6 linked regions of the Rattus norvegicus genome follow. The protein of the gene in region 3 interacts with the protein of the main gene of each other region in a pairwise test. Links are inferred from orthologs where the notes say so. Each region holds a gene or a part of one and is shown on either strand. Other genes may lie near its edges. The genes, in order: Ubqln1, Stam2, Litaf, Reep6, Bag3 and Hip1.

Region 1 (4,300 bases), on a different chromosome or scaffold from region 3:
ATTCCATACAAACATCAGTAAAGGTTATCTACAGCCGCTGTATTAGAGTAAAGAGATCGGGTTTCTAAAGGGCAACAGAATGAAGACTTCCAGGAGGTGGGGGATATGATGTGAGATCACAGAAAGTTAGGCAGGGAAAGGTGTGAGGGGGGCGGAAGGGGGGGATGTCATCATAGAAGGCAGCCTAGGGAAGTACACAGGGAGAATACAGCAGGAAGGAAAACCAGTCAACAGAGGAACTAATGAAGTTGGAAGGAGATTTTATATATATAAACATGAGAAAATTCCAAAATGCTTGCTTGCTCAGTGGTGGAACTTTCTACCCCAAGAACTAACAATTTTCTCACACCTAGACATAAAGCTTGTAACTTCTTCCTGTGATCGAACAACGCTGACAGAAATGTAAGTGATATCAAGTGACACTTGGGTCGCCATTTACCTTCGAAACTCTGACCCAGATTTCAAAGGGCTCTGCTAAGAAGTGTTTATGCAACAGTAGTTAATCATAGAACAGGGTTTGATGGCCTAAGAGCAGAACTATGGAATGTCTTTGCATATTAGGGTCACGGTACACTGTCAGAGTTCACGTTTGTGCAATGTTGATTAACAAAGTGCCGGACTGTATTACATGCTATCTTTGCGAATAAAGGATGTGGGAGTCACTTGTGAATGACTTATTTGTGCCTACATTATGCTGAAAATAAGTTTTCAACCATTATCCCTGATGCGAGCTGCACAGTAACGTAATGGGACAGAATACAAAAGGCACACATCAGCTGGGCTTAACTCCTACCCGTTGGGTGGACAGTCCTAGGCATTCTGTTTCTGCCCCCACGCAGCTTGGAAGACAGACAATATGGGTTGTCCTGTCTTCTGACCAAACCTGTTTGACTCCATGGAGGGAAGCTCTGGCCTCATTGAAACAGTGAGCGCCTGCGGTTGCGCTGGTGGCTCACTGGCGTCTGTTTCGTGTTCCTTTGAAGACCTTTCACCATTGGCTTAGCTTCCAAGCCCTGAGCACAAGACAAGGCAATCGTAACTCCTTCCACCCGGGCAAACACTACGCTTATTAAAATAAAGTAACTCGCCGCTATTTTATAAGCCAACGCCCACGGGGACCAGGTCGGGAGGATACCGGGACCGAGAGCAAAGGGCCAGACGTTTCTAGCAATTTCGCTGCCCGTGACGTCATCTTAGTGCACCATCATGGCGTCTTCCATGAAACCCCTGTTTAAATGCCTTTCAAAGAAGAACGGGAGACGCGAAGTGGGTTAAGTTCCCCCGCTGTGCCCAGCGCTCCTTCGACCTGGAGGAGCCCGCGCTTCGTCCGCCGGCTAAGAAAGGAACGAGCGCCGCCAGGCCATGAGTCGGCTCCTTCGCCAACGCGCTACCCGGCGTGCCTCGCGCAGCCGGCCGCCAGGAGTCGGCGCCGCGGCCAGCGCGTTACCCAGCGTGCCCCGCGCGGCGCCCGGCGACGAGCGTGGGGGAGGTGCGGGAGGAGGAAGCGGCGGCGACGCGGAGAGTCCCCGCGTCCACACGGCAGCCGATCGCCCACCGGGGCCTGCACCCGCAGCCCGCGTCTACGCACCGTCGGTGGCCCCGCAACCTGTCGCGCCCCGCGGACCCGGCCGCAGCCCCCAGTGTCGCGCTCGCCTGAGTCACCGCCATGGCCGAGAGCGCAGAGAGCGGCGGCCCACCGGGCGCTCAGGACAGTGCGGCCGACAGCGGCCCCGCAGAGCCCAAGATCATGAAGGTCACGGTGAAGACGCCTAAAGAGAAGGAAGAGTTCGCTGTGCCCGAGAACAGCTCGGTCCAGCAGGTGAGGGCGCGGGCCAGGCGGTCGCTGCGTCGCCGGCGGGGCGGGGAGGGCGGCGAAGGGGCGGCCTGGCCGGGCGGCGGCCCCGGGGAGCTCCGGTCAGGTCCCGCCGGGTTCCGCTGCGTGAGCTGTGCGGGGCCGGGACGAGTGAGCCGCGCGGCCTGGGCTGGGCTGCGCCGCAGCCGCCGAGCTCCGGGCCCCGGGACCCCAGTCCTCACAAAGGAGCCGGGAGCTGCTGGGAGGCAGGGCGCGGGCGTCGCTCGGCCTTTGACCAGGCTGGGTGGGGGTCATTGTTTTACCTGCCTGGGAATTGGAGAGGTTTGGGGGCGAGAAGCACGTGGAGGGCTAGTTCTCGGTTTTGAATGCTGAACTCTCCCCCACCTTTCAGCCTTTTATTATAAAAATTATGACGCGGAACTTGTTTTCAGTCACACTGTACTAGCTCACGCCTGAAAGGAAAAAAGTAAATGACTTTTTGATTCATAGGCGACTTGCTGCTTCTGTGAACAATACTTCCGTCATCGCTTAGCTGCCACTCATTGGATAGGTTTTTGTTTGATTTTTTTAGGGAGATGAGAAGACACCTGACTGGGTCTTAGCGGTTGCAACGGACCGCAAGGAAACATGGTTGATGTTAAGGCCGATAATTGCCTTAAAGTCTATTCAGGAAAACAAATCTTGCAGCTAATTAAGAGCCTTGGTAGAACCTATCAAATGTAGTTTTCAACACGGTCTAGAGCATTTGAATTGTTGACAGTATCAAACATTGTAAACAGTTTTATGCGAGGAAGCAGGGAACAGCCACTGGAATGTACCTGTAAGTTCTCTCAAGGCTTATCTAGTTCCAAAGGTGAAGTCGGTTTCTTTTCTGAAGCAAGAGGATGTGTGGCACATTGAGAGAAACTCTGGTTGACTGAAGCATCATTCCTTGTGCGTTAACGCTGCTATAAAAAAAAGTTTACCGTCTTTATGTTTTCCAGCAGGTGTGTCCGTCACCCACAATTGACATTTTCCTGCGTTTTCTGTATTGGGCATCTCTTACTTCTAAAATACACTTACTATTAAAAATACTGCAAATATCAGTATTACCCTTATAAGGAAGGTAAGCCACATAAATATTAGTGGCTTGAGAACAACGTCTTTGAAAAATGGTATTCCACATGATGAGAGGCGCAGTGATACGGACATGGTTGCCTTGGCTGGTTTCCCCAGCTCCATCTACACCTGTGTCAGCCAAGCAGGCCATAGTGGAGCCTGTTAGAGTGAACTACAGGCTTCCTTCCGTTCCTCTTTTTGTCACCCCTGTAAGGATTGTTTTTCCTACAAGATTGAGTTCACAGAGACCTAGTTGTCTCTCATGTGGTCTTCTGGATAAGGCTTTTTTTCTTCCTCCACTCAGCATAGTTTTTGAGATTCATCCCAGTGAGGTCTGTATCCCTCCCACGACAGAGATTTGCATACTAGGCACAGGCTTCATTCTACCACTGAACCAAGTCCTCAGCTCAGTACTTAACTGCTGAGTGGTTTTCCACACCATGAATGTGCCGTCACCTGCCCAGGGTCATCTGTTTTCAGCTGCAGTTCTTGTGAAGAGCCTCAGGAGTCCTTTTTGAGGCCATATGCTCTGTTATTGTTTAGTTGCTTTTGTTTTTATTTAAAAGACAGGCTTTCACTCTGGAAGTTTGGCTATCCTGGAACTCACACTGTGTAGACCAGACTGGCTTCAAATTCATCTGCCTTACTCATCTGAGTGTTGGTATTAAAGGCATTCACCACCATGCTCTGCCAGTTCTGTTTAGTTTTATAAGAAACATGAAAAATGTGCTATTTTGCAGTTCAGTCTACATCATATGGGTGTGTGCTCCTTCCTTCTGTCTCCTTGTTAATATTTGGTACGAATAGGGTTTTTTCTTTTTCTTTTCTTTTTAAAGATTTATTTAGTGTGTGTGAGTACACTGTAGTTGTCTTCAGACACACCAGAAGAAGGCACCAGATCCCATTACAGATGGTTGTGAGCCACCATGTGGTTGCTGGGATTTGAACTCAGGACCTCTGGAAGTGCAGTCAGTGCTCTTAACCACTGAGCCATCTCTCCAGCCCTGGTTTTTTTTTTTTTTACATTGTAACCGAGTAATGAATGTGTGGACATACTAAATTATGAAGCTCTTGAGTCTTCCTGAGAGTCCCAGTTTAGATTTCCATCTTCCTGGCAGCTTCCACATTTTATTTCAGGACATTAGAAATAATACTTTATAAATAGAAAAATTATTTAGGTGATTATCTATAGGGTTTTTTTGGGGGAGTGGGGAATAGTGACACTAGAATTTTAAATTCCGTGGAAGCTTATGTTTTGCTGTGCTGTAAAAATGTCTTTACTGGGTAAAAGTAAAGCTTTCCTAAAGTAACTTATTCTAATGTTGGTTTATCTGTTTCCTGTGGGAGCAGTAAATGTGATAAAAGTTGAAAGCATACCCTGTCCCCCCA
Region 2 (3,500 bases), on a different chromosome or scaffold from region 3:
GAGGCACAAAACCATGCTAAGTAGTGGGAAAGCAATGTTGCTAATGGGCAGCTTCTGGCAACTACATCTCACAGCCCAGAGCAAAGCTTCATTACACAGACGTTAAGGCGTGAGTCTAAGAAAATGCTGCTCTTTCAGAGGACACAAGTACAATGCCTAGCACCCACATGGCAGCTCACAACTGTATGTAACTCCTTCCCAGGAGATCTGACACCCTCATACAGACATATATCCAGACAACACTTTAGGGTACATAAAATTAAAAATTATGTGTGTGTGTGTATATATGAGAGAAATTCGTGCTTGATAAAACAGGACTTACATGTACATTTTTGGTTGTGAGCCTAGCCTTTAACGGCTGAGCCATGTCTCCAGCCCAGGACTTACATCTACAAAGAAGACTTATACCCCATACATACTTACTTCCTTACAGAGGCATAAAAAGAACCAGGCACAGTCTTTTCAATGTGTTAAAAATAAACTGGAATGAATTTGTGAAATATCATATTTAATCTTTATGGCTAACACTGTTCAAACAATACTTCTGAAACCATCAAAGTTCAGTGCCAAGGTCTGCAGATATGGAGATCCCCTCCCACCCCCACACACCAGAGGCTTGTGTGCTGGAAGTCTGGATTTCAAGAACTTGGTGAGCGAGAGCTAACTTTACCCATGAATCCGCCCGTTAGTGAGTGCATGGTAGAGCGTGCTGTGAGAAGGTAAGGACTTGCTGGAGAAAGCAGGTCCCTGGGGCCTTATCTTGCCCTCAGACCTGCACTATTCTGCCTCCCACCTGCCCTGGGGATGGAGTGCTCTTTTGGGCTGAGGACAGTGGAGCCAGCTGACTATGAACTGAGACGCCTGAGATCACTAGACCAGCCAAACAACCTTCCTCCTTTTAGCTGACTCTCCTCAGGTACTTTCTCACAGTGAAGAAGGAACATACACTGTTTTGAACATTGGTTTTTTGTTTTGTTTGTTTTTTTGTTTTTTGGTTGTGAGCCTAATCTTTAATGGCTAAGCCATCTCTTCACATCTTTCCAGCCCTAGTTTTATAATTTTACTCGTGGGCAGCAGGTCCCTGGGGCCTTATCTTGCCCTTAGCATTATGCTCTTAAAACATTTAATTTTTTTAAAACCATGACTACTTCTCAAGAGCAATGCTCACCTGCACTGGAACCCCAGCTGCTGTGGCTGAGTAAGGAGCCGGGTGGAGCTTCGAATAGACTGAGTACATGGGCGCTTCATTGACCAATTTGTTGTACAGCTCCAGGGCCTCCAGCACCTTTACGTTCAGCTCCGACAGCTCTGAGTGCCTCCTGATGCAAGACAAGTATTTTCAAAGTAACGTGAAGACCGTTCAAGTTTAGTACACATTTTTGTTCATACCTCAGAAGGCTCTTTTTATATGCAATGAAAGGGCATCCCCAAAGGAAAACTGAGAGGAGAAACTTGAATTCCATCAACAGACTGGTCCATCTTCCTAATAATACAGAAAAGGCAGATCTACACCTCATAAATTGCAATCAATTCATAATTTGGGTGCTAGAATTTAACTTAATACATTATAGATTTATGTCAAAATTTTAATTACAAAGAAAAATAGTCTATGTTTCAGTAAAAGTCTATGCCTTGATTATAAACCCCACTAACACAGTACAGTATGTAGATGAAGACCCGGAGCCCCTGTGAGGTATACTGTGACTGCAGTAAGAGCAAAATGGGAGAAAAGCATACACGCCTTACTCAGGTCCAGGACAGGACAAACTAAAATCAAGGAAACACAAGTAAAACCAACATATACACAAGTTGGGCTACTCTGTTTACTTCATTACTTTGGGGAAGTAAACAAAACTAGGCACAGCATTAGACAACAACAAATCCAGATAAGCATTATCCACCCAGGAAATGCACCCTGATGGTACAACTCTGCCCATTCCCCTGGGGGTGATGAATGACGGTGTAAGTTAAATGGCTACTTTTTGTGTGGTATTAATCATCTGTAAGTGTATACTGGATGTGATTCAGTGTGAACAAGAGAGATGAGAAGCCGAATAAACTGCCCAACACACAAATAGCAGTCTCTCCTTCATTAACATGCTATTTGAGCCAACTAACAGGTGCTGTCTCTTCTCGTGCCATGACCACAAGCAGGCAAACTATCTAACTGCTGCAAAGCACTTAAACCTACAGAAGTCAGGTGTACGCAGTAACAGCGTGATGTGGCCTACGTAACCCAGCGTACTGCAGAGACACTGACACAACAGCGGACGGCCACGAGCGCATGCATAAGACCATCCTGCAAGACTGACAACCCCAAGCAAAGGCAAGCCTTCAGGGAATCACACTCAGGACTACACCAGAGCAAGCAAGGACAGCTGAGGCGCTTCTCCTTGGAAGACAAGGTCAAGAGCACAAAAGAAAAACCAGCAAATGAAGTAACACATAACCAAGTGCAAACTTCTAAGGAGTGGGGAAAGGACAGAGAACTTAGAGGTTAACGGGAGCTGGAGACAGCAGAGACAAGACCAGGGCTCAAGTTCGTCCTGAGGAAAGATGGACAGGAAAGGTAGAAACAATGACCAGGTCAGGTCGGCCAGATGGTAAAAGAAAGGTAGGCAAATGGACAACCAGGATACAGGGGAGGAGTGAAAGGCCAACCTAATGGGGAAAGCAGTAGAAAATCAGATTACAATAGTCTGGTAAGTCAGAACTGGAGGGCAGTATGAGAGCTCATGCTTTGTGATGACAAAGTGAAATGTACAATTTAACTTTCTAACAAGGCACTTTAACTCTCATTCCCATCCCTTATAGAAATAGCAAACTGTTGCTGATTTATTCAAGGAAAAATGATTTATATTTATCTTTGAATTCGTGGCAGGAGCAAACAGTCCATGAGACTATAAAGCCCTAGAGGCTGCAATGTCCCCTCTGCTATGAAACACTGACCCTGGCTCACAGACTCACAGATGGACAGCCAGCTCTCACTCAAAGGTAACTGACTTCAGAAATGGGCACTCTGAGTTTTAATTCCTTTAGACATTCTTCTTTAGTAAATTCTTCTTATTAATGAAAGTAATGTTATGCTGTTCTATCTTCCACTATATATATGACATCATTCCATATCAGAAAGTATTTTTCAATGGCAATTAATTTCTACTATAAGACACAGAACACTGAAAGACATTTTAGTTAGCTGCATATTTATGGTCATAAATAGCATTGTGTTTAATATCACAACATCTGGTCACTGTATAGCTCCCTAGATTTAGTACGCATTTCAAATGGTTTGGGTAAAGAATATTTTTAGGCCTAGGGAAATGCGTACTAATATTGCCAGCCACACGTATGGCAAACTAGTTATTTTTTTCTCAACTTTCCCAGTGTGATTACTCACTAATCATTAGTAGCAGATGTATAAGTAGGTGTGGGATATGTTCTCCAAAACTATGATCTATCTAAAACTATGACCAATCTACCACTGATTATTTCAGTTTTGT
Region 3 (4,194 bases):
TCTCCCTTCCCCATACACATGCTTTAAAAAGAAGAAGAGGGAAGGGAAAGGCTCTCTCTCTCTCTCTCGCTCGCTCGCTCGCTCGCTTGCTCTCTCGCTCTCTCGCTCTTTCTCTCCTGATCCTAGTTGTTAAAACCTTGGAGTCCTGCCCATCCTCAGGAGAATAACACTTATAGAGGGCCAAAAAAGACTGAGCAGACAGACTTGCTTCAGCCCTACCATCTGTGTAGAAACAGTGTCTCAAGGTCTTTGGTCTTCATATGTGAAGGCTCGTAGACCTGTTACACTTTCTATCACTAACATGTCTTTTGTTGAAGGCATTTTGGATGTGACTTTTAGGATGCTGAGACAGGGGCCTTCTTGTCTACAAACCTAATAAAATGACACACAGTTCTCAAAGATCTGTAGTCAAGTGACAATCTCAATGAGTCTAATGCTGTCATCACTGTCCAGTCTGTCAGTGAATGCTCAAGAAAAAGAAAGTTATGAGGAAAGCAGCACTTGACCTCAAACTCCAATTCCACAGCAGGTAATCACCACTCAAGTTCAGAGTCAGCCATGGGTGGCCAAATGGGCCACAGAGACAGACACAGAGAGCGGAGTCTATTTACCTGTGGATATGAGCCACCTGGCTCCCTGGGCTATTTTCATGGCAGCAGAAAGCCAAAACAAACAAAATACAAGTGACTGGTGCCAAGACTCCAGGGCTTCCTCTTACTTTCCACCCCCATGGGAGCTTCAGGGAAATGTGCAGGAGAATTTGAAATGGGGTAAGGGGTCCTGCCCATTCTCACAGCGGCATGAGGCCATGCCGAGACCAGTAGGGATGACTGGATTAAATTAAGGCAGGAAAGCAGGAACTGCCTTGCCAGCTCCTTCATCTCAGGTTTCCCTCTTACTGTGGTCTAGTCCAGTCTATACCTCGGCTGCAACTTTGCTGAGATCTTTCTGCTTATGTGTGGTGTCCTCAGATACAAGCTTTTCTGTACAACCTTCCCTGTCTAGGAACATCTCCCAGTTGCCTCAGCTGGGGTTCTGAGCTAAGCTCTGAACTTTTCAACAGCATGCCTGCTTTTCACCCATAACATAAGCCACTCAGGGCCAGGAGCCATTTTTTTTTTCCCAGCATTGTCAAAGGACAAGGGGTAGTCCTTTCCCCTCCTATGGCCAGGTCATAAAAGTATTGAAGGACAAAGGAATGTATCTGCCAAAGGCAGGAAGCTACTTCAGTGAAGTATTTTAGAGACTCAAGGCACTGATGATGGATCTCAGAGCAATCTCTGGGTCACTTGATTCAGTAAAATATCATAAGGATATTTTTTTTCAAGCAGGGAAAAAACCATTCATTATTAATGCCTTTAGTGGTACAGGAAGAAGGACAATGGGCCTCTCCCACAGTAGATCTACAACAAATATTTCCAAGCTAGCCTGAACACCTTTAGAAGGCAGAGCAAGGACTGGCTAAGAAGAGAGCCAGGTGCAGTATGGGTGTTATTCTAGGCCAGGCAGAACAAGTGACACGCCCTCTGGATCCAGATCCAACTGATAAGGCCAAACACTGGAGGAATTACTGATACCACTCAGCTCCTTTCCCTACAGCCTCTCTCTCTCTCTCTGCATTAGTTCTACTTTAAAAGAGCCAATCTGAGGAGGCTGGAGCGGAGGGCAGAAGAGAAGGTCCAATATGGAGTCCAGGAGTCTCCGGACCGGCTCCAGCTCACCATCCTCAGGAGAGAACAGTTTAATTCAAAGGAGGCTGGAGAAGGACTCGGAGGCACAGTAATCTCAACACTGCGGAGGCAAAAAGTCCAGGAGTTCAAGACCAGCCTCAGCTACATATGCAGTTGGGATGCCAGCCTGGGCTACATAAGACCTTGTCTCAAAACAGCAAGAAGCTGATGAGCTTAGAGTGCCCCGTGACTTCCACAAACTATTTCCCAACAACTAGAGCTCAGTCCAACAGGGAATGACATCAGCTCCAGTAACCGGAAGCACAAATCCGACGAAGTATTAGGTAGGGAATGTCCAAACGACCTGATCATTGGAGCTTTGCCTTTCTAAAACACACCCGTGCTCCCCTCACCTCTTCCTCTTAAACCTGTGGGCACAACACCTAATGATCAGGCGCACCGTCCAGACCTACAGTGACCTGGGAACCTGGGAAGCCAAGAACTGGGGTGGCAGGACAGGCAGGGGCCACGTCCTCCTTCGCCTGGGCTCCAGACTCCACAGTCATACAGCTCCCCTCCACTCCGATACGCCCGCACCCGTCTGGGAACCCGTGTGAAACCCACAGGGCTTAGAGCAAAAGACGCGTGGGCTGGGAACAGTAAAGAGCATCTGGAAAGTTTTCCTACTTTTTGTCTATTCGCTTTTGCTTTCAGAGTACGCACCGGATCCTTCTCCAAATCGCAACTTAGATACTAAAGGTTACTTAGAGAAAACTGCGTCTTTTCCTATAAGCCCGAGGGATATTATTCGGGGAGGTTCGGATAGAAGCTGGGTAGTCCGGGCCTGAGAACCAGACACAATCGGAGCACTGCTGGAACCCCTCGCCCTCAATCCCGCCCAGAGCGCGCCACCCCGGTTCCCACGACGTCCCTGCTCGCCGCCCGAGGGCAGCGCGGTGCCCCGGGACTCTAGGCAGGTGTCAAAGCGCGACCCCCGCTTCCGTTGCCGCCCCGTGCCCAGCGCCCCGAATCTGGTGCTCCCCAGGGAGCACCCAGCCGGGCCGCACTTACCGCCGCCCGCGCCGCCAGTGGAGCCGGGAGGTCTGCGCTGGCCGCGCGCGCGGGCCGGGAGGGCTCCGGGGAGGCAGGGCGAGCTGGGGGCGGGGACGTTTCGGGGCGTAGCTTGAGGGGGGACGAGCCAGATGGGGCGGGGTCTGGGGGGCGGAGCGACAGTCTAGAGGCAGGAGGGTTGGGGATGAAGCTGCGACCTGAGTGGGCTCGCGAGAGGCGGGGCGCACGGAGGCGGGGCCAAAAGGTCGGTCAGGAGGCGGACTCCAGAGCCGCGAGGCCTGGGAGAGGGAGGGGCAAGATTATTCTTTGTTTCTAGCAGCCACAACTACACCCCTACCAAAAAACAAGGCATAAAGAGAACCTACAGAATGGGAAACAACATTGTATGTCATGTAGCTGATGAAAGTCTACTATTCAAATTACATCATGAACAGTACAGGGGATACAGCCTATATCCCGGGTCAGCCTGATCTGAAACAGTGAGTCCCAGCCAAGCTAAGGCTTTCATAGTGAGACCAGTCTCAAGAAACCAAAAACTAGACAGAATGTAGCTCAGCTGGTAGAGGGCTGGCATTAGCATGCATGAAAACCGGGTTCACCCCCAGTGCCCCATAAATGAGTGCCACAGGCCTGCAACTTTTTAAGGCTGAACAGTTTCTCAAAAAAGTTGAATCTAATCTGGGAGACACAAGAAGTTTGAAGCCAGCCACAGATACACAGTGAGATCCAGTCTGAACCCATCCCACACATATACAAAAAGAACATTTTTACAATATACATGCCTCTGTGTGTATGTGTGTGTGTGTGTGTGTGTGTGTGTGTGTGTGTATGTGTGTGCGCGCGAGCATGCATGTGAAGTAGAGTCTCACCTGGCCTTGAACTCACAGAGATCTGCCTGCTTCTGTCTCCTTAGTGCTGGGACTAAAAGTGTATAAATAAATAAAGTGTGTAAAATATAAGCCATGGCTTATATTTTATACCTTGGCTTCAATGTGAGCACAATTGCAGACAGAAAAGGCTTCAGGAGGGAAAGGTTTATTTTGGGTCAGTGTCAGAAGGTTTCACTCCATCTCTATGGGAAAGATCTGGCAAAGCTGTTGAGATTGTGATGGCTGAGGCTATGCAGGGGCTGTTTACATTACAGTAGACCAGGGTGGAGAAGAGTGAGTAATCAGAGTCAAGGAACAGGATTAACCTTCAATGGCCACCCTTAGCAGCTAGGCCTTGCCTCCTAAAGCCTGTAATCTCAGTGCTGGGATGGGGGAGGCAGGAAGATCTCTGCAGTTGCTCCTGGCTAACCTACAGAACTGGAGAACCTTCGGTTCAGCTGAGATTCTATACCAAAAAGTGTAGAGGAGTATGCCTGGCAGAGGAAATACCACATATGGTATTTGGTCATACAATTGCTTTCCCAGGGTGAGACTCATCCATTGCGTTCCTCACGTGCTGATCC
Region 4 (4,171 bases), on a different chromosome or scaffold from region 3:
CCCAGCTCCGAAAAAAAGAAAAAAAAAAAAAAAAAACAACTCTTAGAAAATCCCAAGAAACCTCTCCGGTCTCTGAACAATAACGGGGAGAGGCCTGGTCACCCATGCTGGGGTGACCTGTTCACGGAGACTTCCTGCCTGAGTCACTCCTGCTCCTGTGGGTGACCCCAGTAAGCTCTACCTCACAGGCAGACCTGCCACACCACTTGTCTTTGGCCTGTGGTGCCCTTTCTACCTGGAGTAAACACTAATACTCTATTTTTTCCCCAGGCAGAGGGATGCCATGCTGTGAAGTCAGAACTTGGCAGCTGAGATGGGAGAGCATATGTTCTGGGCCAGCCTGGGCTAGCTACGAAATTTCTGTCTCAGGAAGGGAAGACATAGGTTTCCTGCCTGGGTGTGCTTGTGTCTTGGCCCCTTTAGCAGGACCCAGGGTAGGTGACCTGCTTTCCTCTGCCTCAGTTTCCTTGGGGCCTGACCAGATAGTTGGACACACTCGGTGAGCCTGAGCGGGTGATTTTATTGCGTGCCGCGGAGGATAGATGTTACATGGGGGACCCCGGATGGTGTTTCACATGCACCTTGATGGATGTTTTGTTGAGGGTGTTTCACATGGGGCTTCGTGGTTGGTGTCTCACCCGGGAGTCCACGGGCAGGTTTGACGTGTGATGGCCTGGCTGGTGGGTGTTTCATGTGGCATTGTGGCAGATGTTTAAACTATTTGCACGACGGGCAGTTATTCAACGTGGCTCTTGTATGGTGCTCCGGAGGTCTAGTGCTTCTTGTGGCTCCCCTGGGTAGGTGTCTCTTGCGGTCTCATGGCCCACGGGTGTCCAGGCGTGGCGTTAGTATGCCAGGTGTGGCAGGAGCCAGCAGTGTCTAGGGCAGCGCAGCTGGTGACCGTAGTCTGGCCATTTGCAGGTGATCTCCGTGGTGGACTCGGACAAATAATCCAGAGAGGTGTCAGAGTGACAGGGGACCAACAGCTCGGGCACAGAGGTGCTGCCAGCCGCCTGTGTCTTCTGGTTACGCTTGCCGATCTTGGGACCTGCATTCCCTGACTCAACCGGAGCCTTGCCGGCCCCCTGGTTGAGGTCAGGGGATGTGCAGGGAGACGGGACCCTAGGTGAGCCCTGGACAGACACACTGACACGCTGTGTGGGAGTGGGTACAGATGTGGCTGCTGGCGCTGGCACTGGCGCTGCTGGGGCTGCTGGGGCTGCTGGGGCTGCTGGGGCTGCTGGGGCTGGGGCTGGCGCTGCCGCCACCGCGGCTGCCGCTCGGCCTGGGCCTGCCGTGGAGACCTGGGGGGTCTGCTGGTTTGTTCCTGTGTGGCGGCCTGTTGTCCGGCTGGGTCCCAAGGACCGGCCTGCTGACTGTGGGGCAGCAACAGAGCGCATGGGCAGCTGAATGGACCCCAGTGTTCCACTGGGCAGCCGGGCGCGCTGTGCGGCCCTGGGAGTCAAACTGCCCCGGCTTCGATGGGTCCGGGTCTTGCTGGGAAACTGGGAGCCGATGACGAAAGAACCAGTGGCCAGCTGACCCCGGGACGCAGACGCAGAGCCTGGGCTGACTGGGGACGGGGACTGCCCATTTGTGGCCCGTGAAGGGCTTCCTAATGGTTTACTTGGACTTGAGGGTCGGCGTGGTTGTGGTTGTGGTTGTGGTTGTGGTTGTGGTTGTGGTTGTGGTTGTGGTTGTGGTTGTGGTTGCGGTTGTGGTTGTTGCGGTTGTGGTTGTTGCGGTTGTGGTTGTTGTGGTTGTTGAGGTTGAGGTTGAGGTTGAGGTTGAGGTTGTGGTTGAGGTTGCGGCTGTGGCTGTGGTTGCGGCTGTAGCTGTGGCTGCGGTTGTGGCTGTGTCTCCTCTATCTGGGAGTCTGAGGAACTGTCAGAGATCTGGCCATCATCGGCTATGTGTTCCTTGTCAGTGGTTGGGGGCTCTACACACAGACTGCCAGCAGACCTCACTTGTGCTTCAGGAGTGTGGTCTGACTTGACTTGGCTGTGGAGAGAAAAGATCGCCGGTGTAGGTATGTGAGGGCAGCTGAGGTTGGCTGGGGGCCCTCCCACCAAGTCTCTGAGGGAGAGCTGGTAAGAATGTGGTGTCAGGGGGCTGGGGATTTAGCTCAGTGGTAGAGCACTTGCCTAGCAAGTGCAAGGCCCTGGGTTCGGTCCCCAGCTCCGAAAAAAAGAAAAAAAAAAAGAAAAAAAAAAGAATGTGGTGTCAGCTCTGCTCTGCAGGCAAGCTTGCCCCCACTTTGAGGACATCTGAACATAGGCCTGCAACTCTGCTCCTCATGGGACACGCTTGTCCAGAGGCCCCCGTACACGCACATATGCAGACACACACCCAGGTTGGCATTCGCCGTGCTCGTACGTACACACACATGCAGACAATCACACCACATGCACACTGAGTGAATGTGCCCTATACAATCCCTTCAGAGGATTACATACGGTCCGGTTCCAGAGCGGCTGGGGACTCCGATGCTGATGCTGGGGTTACGAGAGTCCGACCCCGAGCCAAGGCCTGTAGCACTGGTTCCCGACAGCCAAGGAGAGAGAGGCGGACAGTAAGAGGATAGTGGAGCCATGCAGGGGTTGGTCGAGACGCAAGACAAGGAATGTAGCCAGAGTCAGGAGGCTCGCAACAGGTAAAGGGACAGATAGGCAAATTCAATCATGGGGACAGACAGACAGAGGGTCAATCGAGACCCAGGAGCAAGCTAAGGCGGCCTGATAGTGCCATCCCGGCACCCAGGAGGTAGCGGCAGGAAGGTCAGGAACAAAAGACCACCCTTGTGAGGAGGGGGGTAGCCTGAGCTATTTGAAGTCCTTTGTCTCAAAATAACCTAATTAGCCATGTGTGGGGCCCTTAATCCTAGCTCTCCAGAGAGAGGCTTAGAGAGGTGGATCTTTATGAGTTTAAGGCCAGCCTGGTCTATAAAGCGAGTTCCTAGCCAGCCAGGGTTACATAGTGAGACCTTGTCTCAAAAGAACAAAGCAGAACAAAATGTAAAAAAAAAAAAAAAAAGGTAGGGGGGGGAAACAAAACAAATACAGTATCCAAACCAAGCCCCGTGGGCATCTGCCCCATGTACTTACCGTCCCTGGTTATCCCAGCTGCTATGTCCAATGCTCTTCCGCTTAGCTGGCTCGCGGCGCTGTCTAGAGCCACGTGGTGCTTTAGAAACAGAGGTCTTATGACGCGATGATACAGTAGCAATGCCCCGTTCCAGGGCCCGGGTGTCATGCAAAATAATAGGAAGGCGCACTGCATAGGGACATGGAGCTGTCACCACAGGGTCCGGCCCCACGCATGGGGACAGCATGCTGTCACCACAGGGCCCGGCCCCATGCATGAGGACAGCATGCTGTCACCCACAGGGCCCTGCCCTACACAAAGGGACACACCACAGGGTCAAACAGGGCACCTATGCCCCCCCTTCCCCCAGGACTAGCCCACCTCTCCCCCTTGCCTGCCCCCTGCCCCCAGGGCTGGCCCGACTACCCACCTTGCCCGCGTAGTAGAAAGGGAACCAGAACAGGAGTAGATCGCTGAAGAACTCGACTAGACCGAACAGGGCGTACACCACCCAGTAGGTTAGCCACACAGTGTCGTCTTCCTTGTTTGGGCTCTCGATAGCTTTGACTCTGTCCAGGTAGGAATGCACGTGTCTGCCCTCAAGGTGCCATCTGGGAACACCAGAAGCCCCCCACCCTGTGGACTGCCTGCTGCACTCACGAAGCATATGCGGGGTATACAAATCCGATGACATTGCAAAGTAGAGACGCCCCGTAGCCGAACAGAAGATACAGGCCTAGAAGGGTGAGGGCTCCTGCAAAGACAAGAGCGTTGGGCAAGGCCTGGCACACAGCACCTATCTGACAGCTCCCTGTGCCTCTTCCTGGTGATGCCCTGGGCAGTGAATCCCTATCACTGAACCCTGGCTTCACACCCAGGTCTCAGTTTTGGATCACAAATTCAGCCTTTTTCCTCCTCTTCTTCCTCCTCCTCCTCAAGACAGGGTTTCACAATGAATGCAGTTCTGGTTGGCTTCAAAGTCATGGAGATCTGCCTGCCTCTGCCTCCCGAGTGCTGAGATTGGAGGCGTGTTCTGCCACATTGACTGTCTTGGGCATTTTGTTTTGTTTGGAGTTTTTTTTGAAAC
Region 5 (3,500 bases), on a different chromosome or scaffold from region 3:
CAGTGAACTCGGGTGAAGGGCACATGGGACTTCTTCATACGAGTCTTACAGCTCTTCAGAAAGGCTGAAATTGTTTCCAAATAGAAAAGCTAAAGACAGTGCAGGGGAGATGACTCAGCAGGTCAAACACGTGAGTGACGGCCAGAGTTTGGACCTCCAGGGCACACAGGACAGATGCATGGGTGTGGCAGTCCACCTGTAAGCCCAGCACTCAGGAAGCAGAGATAAGATATTCCCCGAAGGGGCTGGAGAGATGGCTCAGCGGTTAAGAGCACCCGACTACTCTTCCAGAGGTCCTGAGTTCAATTCTCAGCAACCACATGGTGGCTCACAACCATCTGTAAAGAGATCCAATGCCCTCTTCTGGTGTATCTGAAGACAGCTACAGTGTACTTATATATGATAAATGAATAAAAAAAAATATTAAAAAAAAAGATATCCCCCGAAGCAAGCTAGCCAGCTGGGTAGACTAGTTGTACCGGCAAGCACTGGGTTCAAGTGAGAGACCCTGCTTCAGTGTAAAAGGTGGTGACAGATCAAGAAAGACTCCCATTGACCATGGGCCTTCATAAGGATGTGCGTGTACATGCACAAAACATGTATCACAGACACATATGCACAATGCATGCAAAAACAAACAAAAGTTGAGGATTTCCTGTTTCCAGGACTGAGATAATATCACTGTAAGAGAAAGACATTCTACATTTGGATCTTTGGAAATATCTCATAGGGAGAGTTCACTTTTAAAACCGTGATAAGGAGTAATTCAGCTGCTCAATGTTACAGCCGGGAGTGAGTGTCCTTTCCTGTCTCTGAGCTGCAGGTGTCTGGTTTCAGTAACATCTCTAGCTTCACTGGAGGATGCGCAGGGCCGTGACCATGATGTCCACCAGACCACAATGGCTTTCCACTACTGTCCACCAATGTGGCCAAGGACCACAATACCCTACTGCAAAAGGGGAATGTCTCAGACAAGGTCCCTTGCTGTCAGGCTCGGAGCTTATGAGATAAGAGGACCATCTGGATTGCACAAGATAATCACGGACTGAACCCGAAGGAACTCGTGCAAGGCATGAAGGGAAAGGAGTTGCTTTTAGAGGAGAGACTAGGTGGGCATCCCTTAGAAGGCAAAGGGATGGGGGACTGCACTGGTCTTTTATTTTATAGAACAGGTCCAGCCTGAGCAAATGCCCCAGAGGGATCAAGAGAATGGCTTGTAGAACAGAAATAGAGAAAGAGAAACAATGCCCCTCTTAAACTGAAGTGCACAGTGTGGTTAGAGTATGTGTTGGGGGGGATGGGGAGAGGAAAGGTGTGGTGCACACTAAGGAACATGGCCATAGAGGTGAGAGTGATAGCACTGAGTGACAGCCTTACCATAGGCTCTCCCTCCCCCTCTGTCCCTGAGCATCAAAGACCAGCAGCTTCTAGAATTCCATTTGTCTCTAGTTGTGCTATGCTGACAAGGCAGGGCTTTGAGGAATCCCAGGGCATCTGCAGAACCTCTCGGCTTGCCTCAGCCACCTGTGTTTCTGTGAACCATGACTCTCCGTACCTGAGGCCTGTCAACCACCGTGTGCACACGGATGGGTGATGGGCAGTGAACCGGTGTGCCGCTTCTGGCTGGAGAGCCCTCCCGGCTGGATGCACCTCTGACAGGTGACCTGAATGGAGATGTGGCCCGAAGAGGCCGGGGCTCCCAGTCGTCCCCCTGGATCTTGTGGTACACAGGCTGCTGGGGCTGGTATTCACCCTGCTGAGCTGGGTAGTGGGTCTTCTGGGCTTGGTGGAAGGAGGGCTGGGCTGCTGGCCGGGTGATGTTCTGCTCATGTATCACGGGGATGGGTATGTAACCCCTGGGGAGCTGATGGCTACCCAGACTGCTCCTGCCAGAGGACGGCAGGCTGGCCGAGGAGGACGAGGATGAGCAGTCAGAGGCAGCTGGAGACTGAGATCGCTGCAAGAGACAAAGGGCAGAGGCACGGTGCCATGAATGAATGACCCTGCTGCCCTGGCACTCCAAATATTCCAGACACCACCTGGCCAGGACAACACATCCCCAAAGCCCAAAGCCACACATTTTCAAAGTGTGAGGATAAGGGCTGTGTGGACTTCTGTGAGGGAGGGAGCAAGTGCTCAGTGTGCTTGAGACCCTGGTTTCACTCTCCAGCACACTCTACTTAACAAATAGAGTATTAAGAACACTGGGACATTGGGAGAGCACCTGCCCAGCATACACAAGGCTCCCAGAGCTCTGAAATAAAAGGGCCAGGGTTTAAATACTTGGAAGCTCGACAGTTCTCGGCACCTTGCCTGAAATATGGGGAAAGGACAGCCTGCCTGCCCACCTCATGGGTTGCTCTGAGGATTAACTGGATGCTCTGTGCCTGTGCGTTGGCAGGCAGCGGCGTGCACAGGAAGGGTGTGGGCCGCTGGGTCTGTTTGTTGTTACTGAATGTCTCCTTTCCGCTTAACCTCTCATTGGAGAATGCAGTGAAGCATCTGGGAGCTGCCTGTGTCTGGGTGCAGGCCAGGTCCCTTGCTCTTCTGATCTATCTTCTAGTCACCTAGAAGGTGAGGAAGATGGCTGCCTAGGTGGTTCCCCACTAACGGCCTTGTTGGCTTACATTTTCTAAGATCTCTGACCGATGTGTTGTTTTGACTTGTACTGGAGAAACATTACCTACATAGGAAACACATCTCCAAGAAAGGAGAGAGATTTCCAGTATCCCACATTAACTACAGTGAAAGTGAACACAAGTAGAGGTCAAAAACAATCAGGACTCTGACGCAGGCAGGAAATGTGGACTCATCCTCAAGAACAATGCCAGTGACCCAGGGGACGAGCTGCCGAGAGGACGACGACGAAAAAGGAAGGCATAACTACTTAGCAACCCTACCCAGTCTGTTGGCCACAACCTCAGCTCAGAACCGAGTGAGCAACACACTTTCACTAGTAACAAACCTCAAAATGGCAAACGTCAGGGTTCAAGCCTAAAGCTGTTGCCCTTCTGACTTAATGCTGGATTCCCTTTAACGGCACACCTGAAGACAGAGATCTATGGCACCCTGATTTCATTCCCAGCATAGGTCCAAATGGTTGCTGTCCATCTGAAGGGACCAGAGTAACTCAGCTCTCTCTGAAGCAGAGAGCCCAGTGTGCATAGGAACACTGATATAGGAAGCCAGGCAGTTGCTCCAAGCTGTGAGGCCTCTACCTCTATGCACTTTGGTCACTCAGTTACCCTGTTGGTGCCAATTCTTCTACTACAAAAATAAGTCATGTGCTCTCTGGCCATCTGAAAAAAATCTTACACCTACAGGTGTAAGATACAGGGACCATGTGAGGCTGCCAACCATCTCTGCAGCAAGAACCCCTGAGGCTGCAGGCCGTGAACCCCGTGTACTACCAGGTCGGTTTCTGGCCCAGCATGAACTGGGTCTCTTACCTCAGGTCCGTGGGCAGTCGGGGGCTGGGCTGTTGCAGCTGCCGGCACCTG
Region 6 (4,080 bases), on a different chromosome or scaffold from region 3:
AGGGTCTCCCTATGTATAGGCATGGTTAGCCTGGAATCTGCTATGGAGACCACACTGGCAAGGATCCTCCTGCCTCTGCCTCCTGAGTGCTGGGATTGTCAAAGTGTCCCACCATGCCTGCCAGCTTGAGAGAATTTCAACAACTCAGTTGGATTGTGCTGCCTCATGCCAGTAATCTGAGCACTAGGGAGGCCAAGGCAGGGAGATGAAAGTTTGAGGGCCAGCCTGGTCTACATAGCTGAGTTCCAGGCTAGCCTGAGCAACACAGTAAGATCCTCACTCAAATAAAACAAAAGCAACAATAACAAAACAAACAAAAAATTAAAAAAAAAAAAACCCTCAGCACTTGGGAGGCAGAGGCAGGCAGACCATTGTGAGTCTGAGGCTAGCCTGATCTACAAAGTGAGTTCCGGGTCAGCCAGAGCTGTTATACAGAGAAACCCTATCTGTAAAAATCAAAAAGAAAAGAAAAAAAGGGGAGGGAGGAGTTTCCATAACTGAAAAACTCTGCTGTAGTATATCTCAATGCGTGTGCACACATGCACACACACACACACACACACACACACACACACACACCAAATCTGACTAATAACAAGTGTTCTACGAAGGTAAAATTAGACACTGACCTACCAGTCTTCCTGTTGAGTATTCCCTGGGTAACTAGGAAAAATGTTAGTTGTGGCTGGAAACATTTCAAATGCCTAATTTCTTTCTTTTTTTTTTTTTCTTTTCTTTTTTTTTCGGGGCTGGGGATTGAACCCAGGACCTTGTGCTTCCTAGGCAAGCGCTCTACCACTGAGCCAAATCCCCAACCCCTCAAATGCCTAATTTCTATCACTGTCTATTAATTTCAAACTTTCAAAAACACTCTTAATGTAATTTTGGGTGTGTGTGTATGGAGGGGTGTTCATGGCGCAGCTCAAAACTGAAGTCAGAGGGCAACATGGCTCCTTCCCTGGCATGAAACGCAGGTGGCCCCTTAGCCAGCTCCACTGGGCCTAAGCTCAAACTTTTGTTTTGTTTTGTCTTTGTTTTTTTGGAGCTGACGACTGAACCCAGGGCCTTGCGCTTGCTAGGCAAGCGCTCTACCACTGAGCTAAATCCCCAACCCCAAGCTCAAACTTTTATGTCTAACTTACTGCTCCAGTTTTAAGCTATCAGAGATTCTCAGACGGTTGGATGTCACAAAATAGCTCCGGCTTATTTTCCTCTTTCAGTTTAAAAATAAAAGAGGTTTGTAGCGGGGAGAAGATGAAAACTTTCTTTTTCCTTTTGGCAGCAATGCCCAAAGTTCAGAAGATCTGAGAAATTAAAAAAGTTCCAAAAACCCTTAGACATTGAGAGGTAAGTGAATGCCGGTTCTCCTCCTCCCCGGGTACAACTACCCCTTTTTTCCCCCAGACACAAGAAGTGGATCCAGGGGTCTCAGAAACAAGAGGTGGATTAAAGTCCCCTGGGGTGAAAAGGCTGTCTTCCGTGCACCGTCCATTTATAGAACTCACGGGCTCTCCTATCTCTTCCACCTTTTCTACTCACAGAACACCACAGGGGAGCTGCCTCTGGCTGAAGTCAACTCGATCTTCAAAGTAGAACTTGGAGAGCCAGAGGAGAACAAGAAATCTACGGGCCCAGCTTCCGCAGTGGGATCCGAAGGGTTGTACTCTCAGATTTTACATACAGATGAATTGGTAACTACACACCCAGCGCCTCACTACTTGACTCGGTCCGATCGATACAGCATGCATAAAAGCTTGAGATAAAAGTGGATAGTGGCTTTTTGTTGATAACCGCGGTGGAATTTTGGCCATCTGCCCTGGTCAGACCAGACAAGGCAGGCGGTCTGCTTAGTAGCTGTCAGGCATATTTTGGAGGGTGAAAGGAAAACCGCAAATCAGGATTCTATGTATCACTGGAGAGCTTAACCCGACACGCGAGGGTCTGACAGTCCAAGCGTCGCAATTCCTACACGCGTCCCCATTTCTCCAAACCCCCGGGGGTCATTTTCCAAGTTGGACCACACTTCACATTTCCTACGGTCCCTCCCATCACTCAGACCCCTTTGGCGCAGCCTCTGAGGCCAACAGCTGGGGCTGCTGAGAGCCAAGTTAGAGGCACCGTTGAACGAGATGCTGGGGAATGAAGGAAGAAGTCAATACTAAAGTAAAGCGATCAGAGCCACCCTTTACACCTCTACGTTGGTGTCCCCACACTTGCAAAAACCGAGTGACTTCCAAGTGCTTCCCCTACCCAGGAGCACCCCTTCCATCAGTCCCTTTTCGACTCCCTTTGGCCTCCCTTGTGACCTCTGATGGTGCTCGCCGAGGCTATTCTCTCAGTTGCAGGAATCTGCAGTTCCCCGGAGTACACCCCGACCCCCGTGCCAGTAGGGATGCCCAGGTCCCGGACCTCCCTGGGACCCGCCTAGTTCCGCACCCCAAAATGATTCTGATCGCAGCCACCTTGCCTAATTCCCTCCCGGGACTGCAAGACTCACTCCGTTCCAAGCCTCTCTAGCACCCTGCATCACTCCAGGTGCCCCCAGGGATGCCCCAGGGTTCTCGAATCTCACCTGAGTCCGCTCGAAGCTCTCGCGCTCCGCAGCCTCCATCCCAGCACCAACCCCGCGCCGGCTCAACACTTTGGGCAGCGGGTTGGGTACCTGCTTCATGGAGCTGGCCATCCGGTCCATGTTGTCTGGGTGAACAGAGTCAGGGGCCCTCGGCCGCCCCGGGATCCCCGCGGCGCCTCCCGCCCCTCCCTACCCGCGGGGATCCGGCGCTAACGGGGACAGATTACGTCTTCCATTGGTTGACAGCGCTGTCCATCTCCCTCAGGACCCACCCCATCTCTCCAAGAGGCTTTTCCCCACATCCCTTTTCCCACTTCGGAGGCGCTCCGCTCACTTCACCGGCTGGCCCGCCTCAGAGCGGTCGGCATGCTATGACTGGTCTGAAGGTTTGTCCGTTAACTTCTGTGGGCAGGACCTGGTGGGCTCTTGCTCCCTCCCCGAGGCTCCGCCCCATGATCGATACACCGCCTTCCAGGCCTAGAAATGCACTGTCATTGGTCTGAAGAGTTATCTGTCAACACAGCAGGGCTGGCTTCGTGAGCTGCCCTCACCATTTTTTTGCTGCTCCACCCTACATCCGTCACTCCTCCTTTGTTCCCACCCTACAGGACCAAAAGAGCACCATGATTGCTCTGAAGGCTTGTCCGTCATCTTAATGGGGCAGGGCCTGGCTGCTACAGACCAGCCCTTGAGACTCCACCCTATCTCGAAGCGCCACCTCCTGGGCCCTTCTCTGCTGCGGGTTGCTGAGCTCGAAGAGCTGCCGTCCAGCCGGCGCCACGAGTTCCCGAGGGGGACGGAAAGGCAGATCAAGGGAAGCATGGCTGCACCGCTTTCACCAGGCTTGCCGGGGAACTCCGCATCAGTGTGGTCCGGCGATGGCGGCCTTAGTGGCTCTCGAAGTCTCCTCCCCGTGCATTCCTATCTGCCAGTTCTGGAGGATCGCCGACCCGGGTCCCCAAGTACTGGACTTTGACTGCGGGTATCTCCCCAGAGCTTTCCCTTACCTTGGTAGAAACCCCAACAGATGCTCCTTGTTTATCTATAGCAGGGTCCACTCCTCCCATCCTGTTCTGGGAGCATCTACAGACTGGGACGTGTGCTCCTCAGCAAAGAAAATGTTACACGTTCTCTACTAACAGAACCAGTGGCACCGTTAAGAATTTAAAAAAATTGATGATGCTATTCATCTATCTGTTCAAGAACCCAGTACACGTCTCACTTGTACTAGGCAATGTTTTGATTAATGAATGACAGCATCAAACTCATTATATAGCCGAGTCCCTCGAATCTCCGTGGACCACGATGCTTGGCTTTTGTTAATGTGTGTGAATTATGTACCTGTGTGTATGTGTGGGACTGTGCTCACGCGGCAGTGCACCTGTGGAGGTCAGAAAGCAAACAAGATTCTGTTCCCTACCATGTGGATCCCAGAGAGCTGACGTGGGTCGTAGGCTTAGTAGCAACTTACCTGAGCGATCACACCAGTGGGACGCTTTAAAGACAGT

What was found.
Region 1: the proteins of Litaf (region 3) and Ubqln1 interact in binary tests that used the Homo sapiens proteins (3 or more experiments, as listed by UniProt). The two-hybrid records come from large-scale screens. The link is inferred for Rattus norvegicus from reciprocal best matches to the Homo sapiens genes LITAF and UBQLN1.
Region 2: the proteins of Litaf (region 3) and Stam2 interact in a two-hybrid assay, tested with the Homo sapiens proteins (4 studies listed by BioGRID and IntAct). The two-hybrid records come from large-scale screens. The link is inferred for Rattus norvegicus from reciprocal best matches to the Homo sapiens genes LITAF and STAM2.
Region 4: the proteins of Litaf (region 3) and Reep6 interact in binary tests that used the Homo sapiens proteins (3 or more experiments, as listed by UniProt). The two-hybrid records come from large-scale screens. The link is inferred for Rattus norvegicus from reciprocal best matches to the Homo sapiens genes LITAF and REEP6.
Region 5: the proteins of Litaf (region 3) and Bag3 interact in binary tests that used the Homo sapiens proteins (3 or more experiments, as listed by UniProt). The two-hybrid records come from large-scale screens. The link is inferred for Rattus norvegicus from reciprocal best matches to the Homo sapiens genes LITAF and BAG3.
Region 6: the proteins of Litaf (region 3) and Hip1 interact in binary tests that used the Homo sapiens proteins (3 or more experiments, as listed by UniProt). The link is inferred for Rattus norvegicus from reciprocal best matches to the Homo sapiens genes LITAF and HIP1.

The regions. Positions count from the first base shown.
Region 1 is NC_086035.1:6,442,940-6,447,239, forward strand, and holds the start of Ubqln1 (ubiquilin-1), read left to right. Parts: upstream 1-1,500; 5' UTR 1,501-1,666; coding exon 1,667-1,819; intron 1,820-4,300. UniProt on the Homo sapiens protein: Plays an important role in the regulation of different protein degradation mechanisms and pathways including ubiquitin-proteasome system (UPS), autophagy and endoplasmic reticulum-associated protein degradation (ERAD) pathway.
Region 2 is NC_086021.1:57,602,416-57,605,915, forward strand, and holds part of Stam2 (signal transducing adapter molecule 2), read right to left. Parts: intron 1,320-3,500; coding exon 1,169-1,319; intron 1-1,168.
Region 3 is NC_086028.1:5,161,864-5,166,057, reverse strand, and holds the start of Litaf (lipopolysaccharide-induced tumor necrosis factor-alpha factor homolog), read right to left. Parts: upstream 2,801-4,194; 5' UTR 2,742-2,800; intron 1-2,741.
Region 4 is NC_086025.1:10,024,101-10,028,271, forward strand, and holds the end of Reep6 (receptor expression-enhancing protein 6), read right to left. Parts: intron 3,839-4,171; coding exon 3,745-3,838; intron 3,654-3,744; coding exon 3,515-3,653; intron 3,274-3,514; coding exon 3,105-3,273; intron 2,538-3,104; coding exon 2,457-2,537; intron 2,002-2,456; coding exon 1,964-2,001; 3' UTR 501-1,963; downstream 1-500. UniProt on the Homo sapiens protein: Required for correct function and survival of retinal photoreceptors. Required for retinal development.
Region 5 is NC_086019.1:192,550,460-192,553,959, reverse strand, and holds part of Bag3 (BAG family molecular chaperone regulator 3), read right to left. Parts: coding exon 3,450-3,500; intron 1,958-3,449; coding exon 1,556-1,957; intron 1-1,555. UniProt on the Homo sapiens protein: Co-chaperone and adapter protein that connects different classes of molecular chaperones including heat shock proteins 70 (HSP70s), e.g. HSPA1A/HSP70 or HSPA8/HSC70, and small heat shock proteins (sHSPs), e.g. HSPB8.
Region 6 is NC_086030.1:26,768,667-26,772,746, reverse strand, and holds the start of Hip1 (huntingtin-interacting protein 1), read right to left. Parts: upstream 2,801-4,080; 5' UTR 2,693-2,800; coding exon 2,573-2,692; intron 2,567-2,572; exon of another isoform or gene 1-2,566. UniProt on the Homo sapiens protein: Plays a role in clathrin-mediated endocytosis and trafficking. Involved in regulating AMPA receptor trafficking in the central nervous system in an NMDA-dependent manner. Regulates presynaptic nerve terminal activity.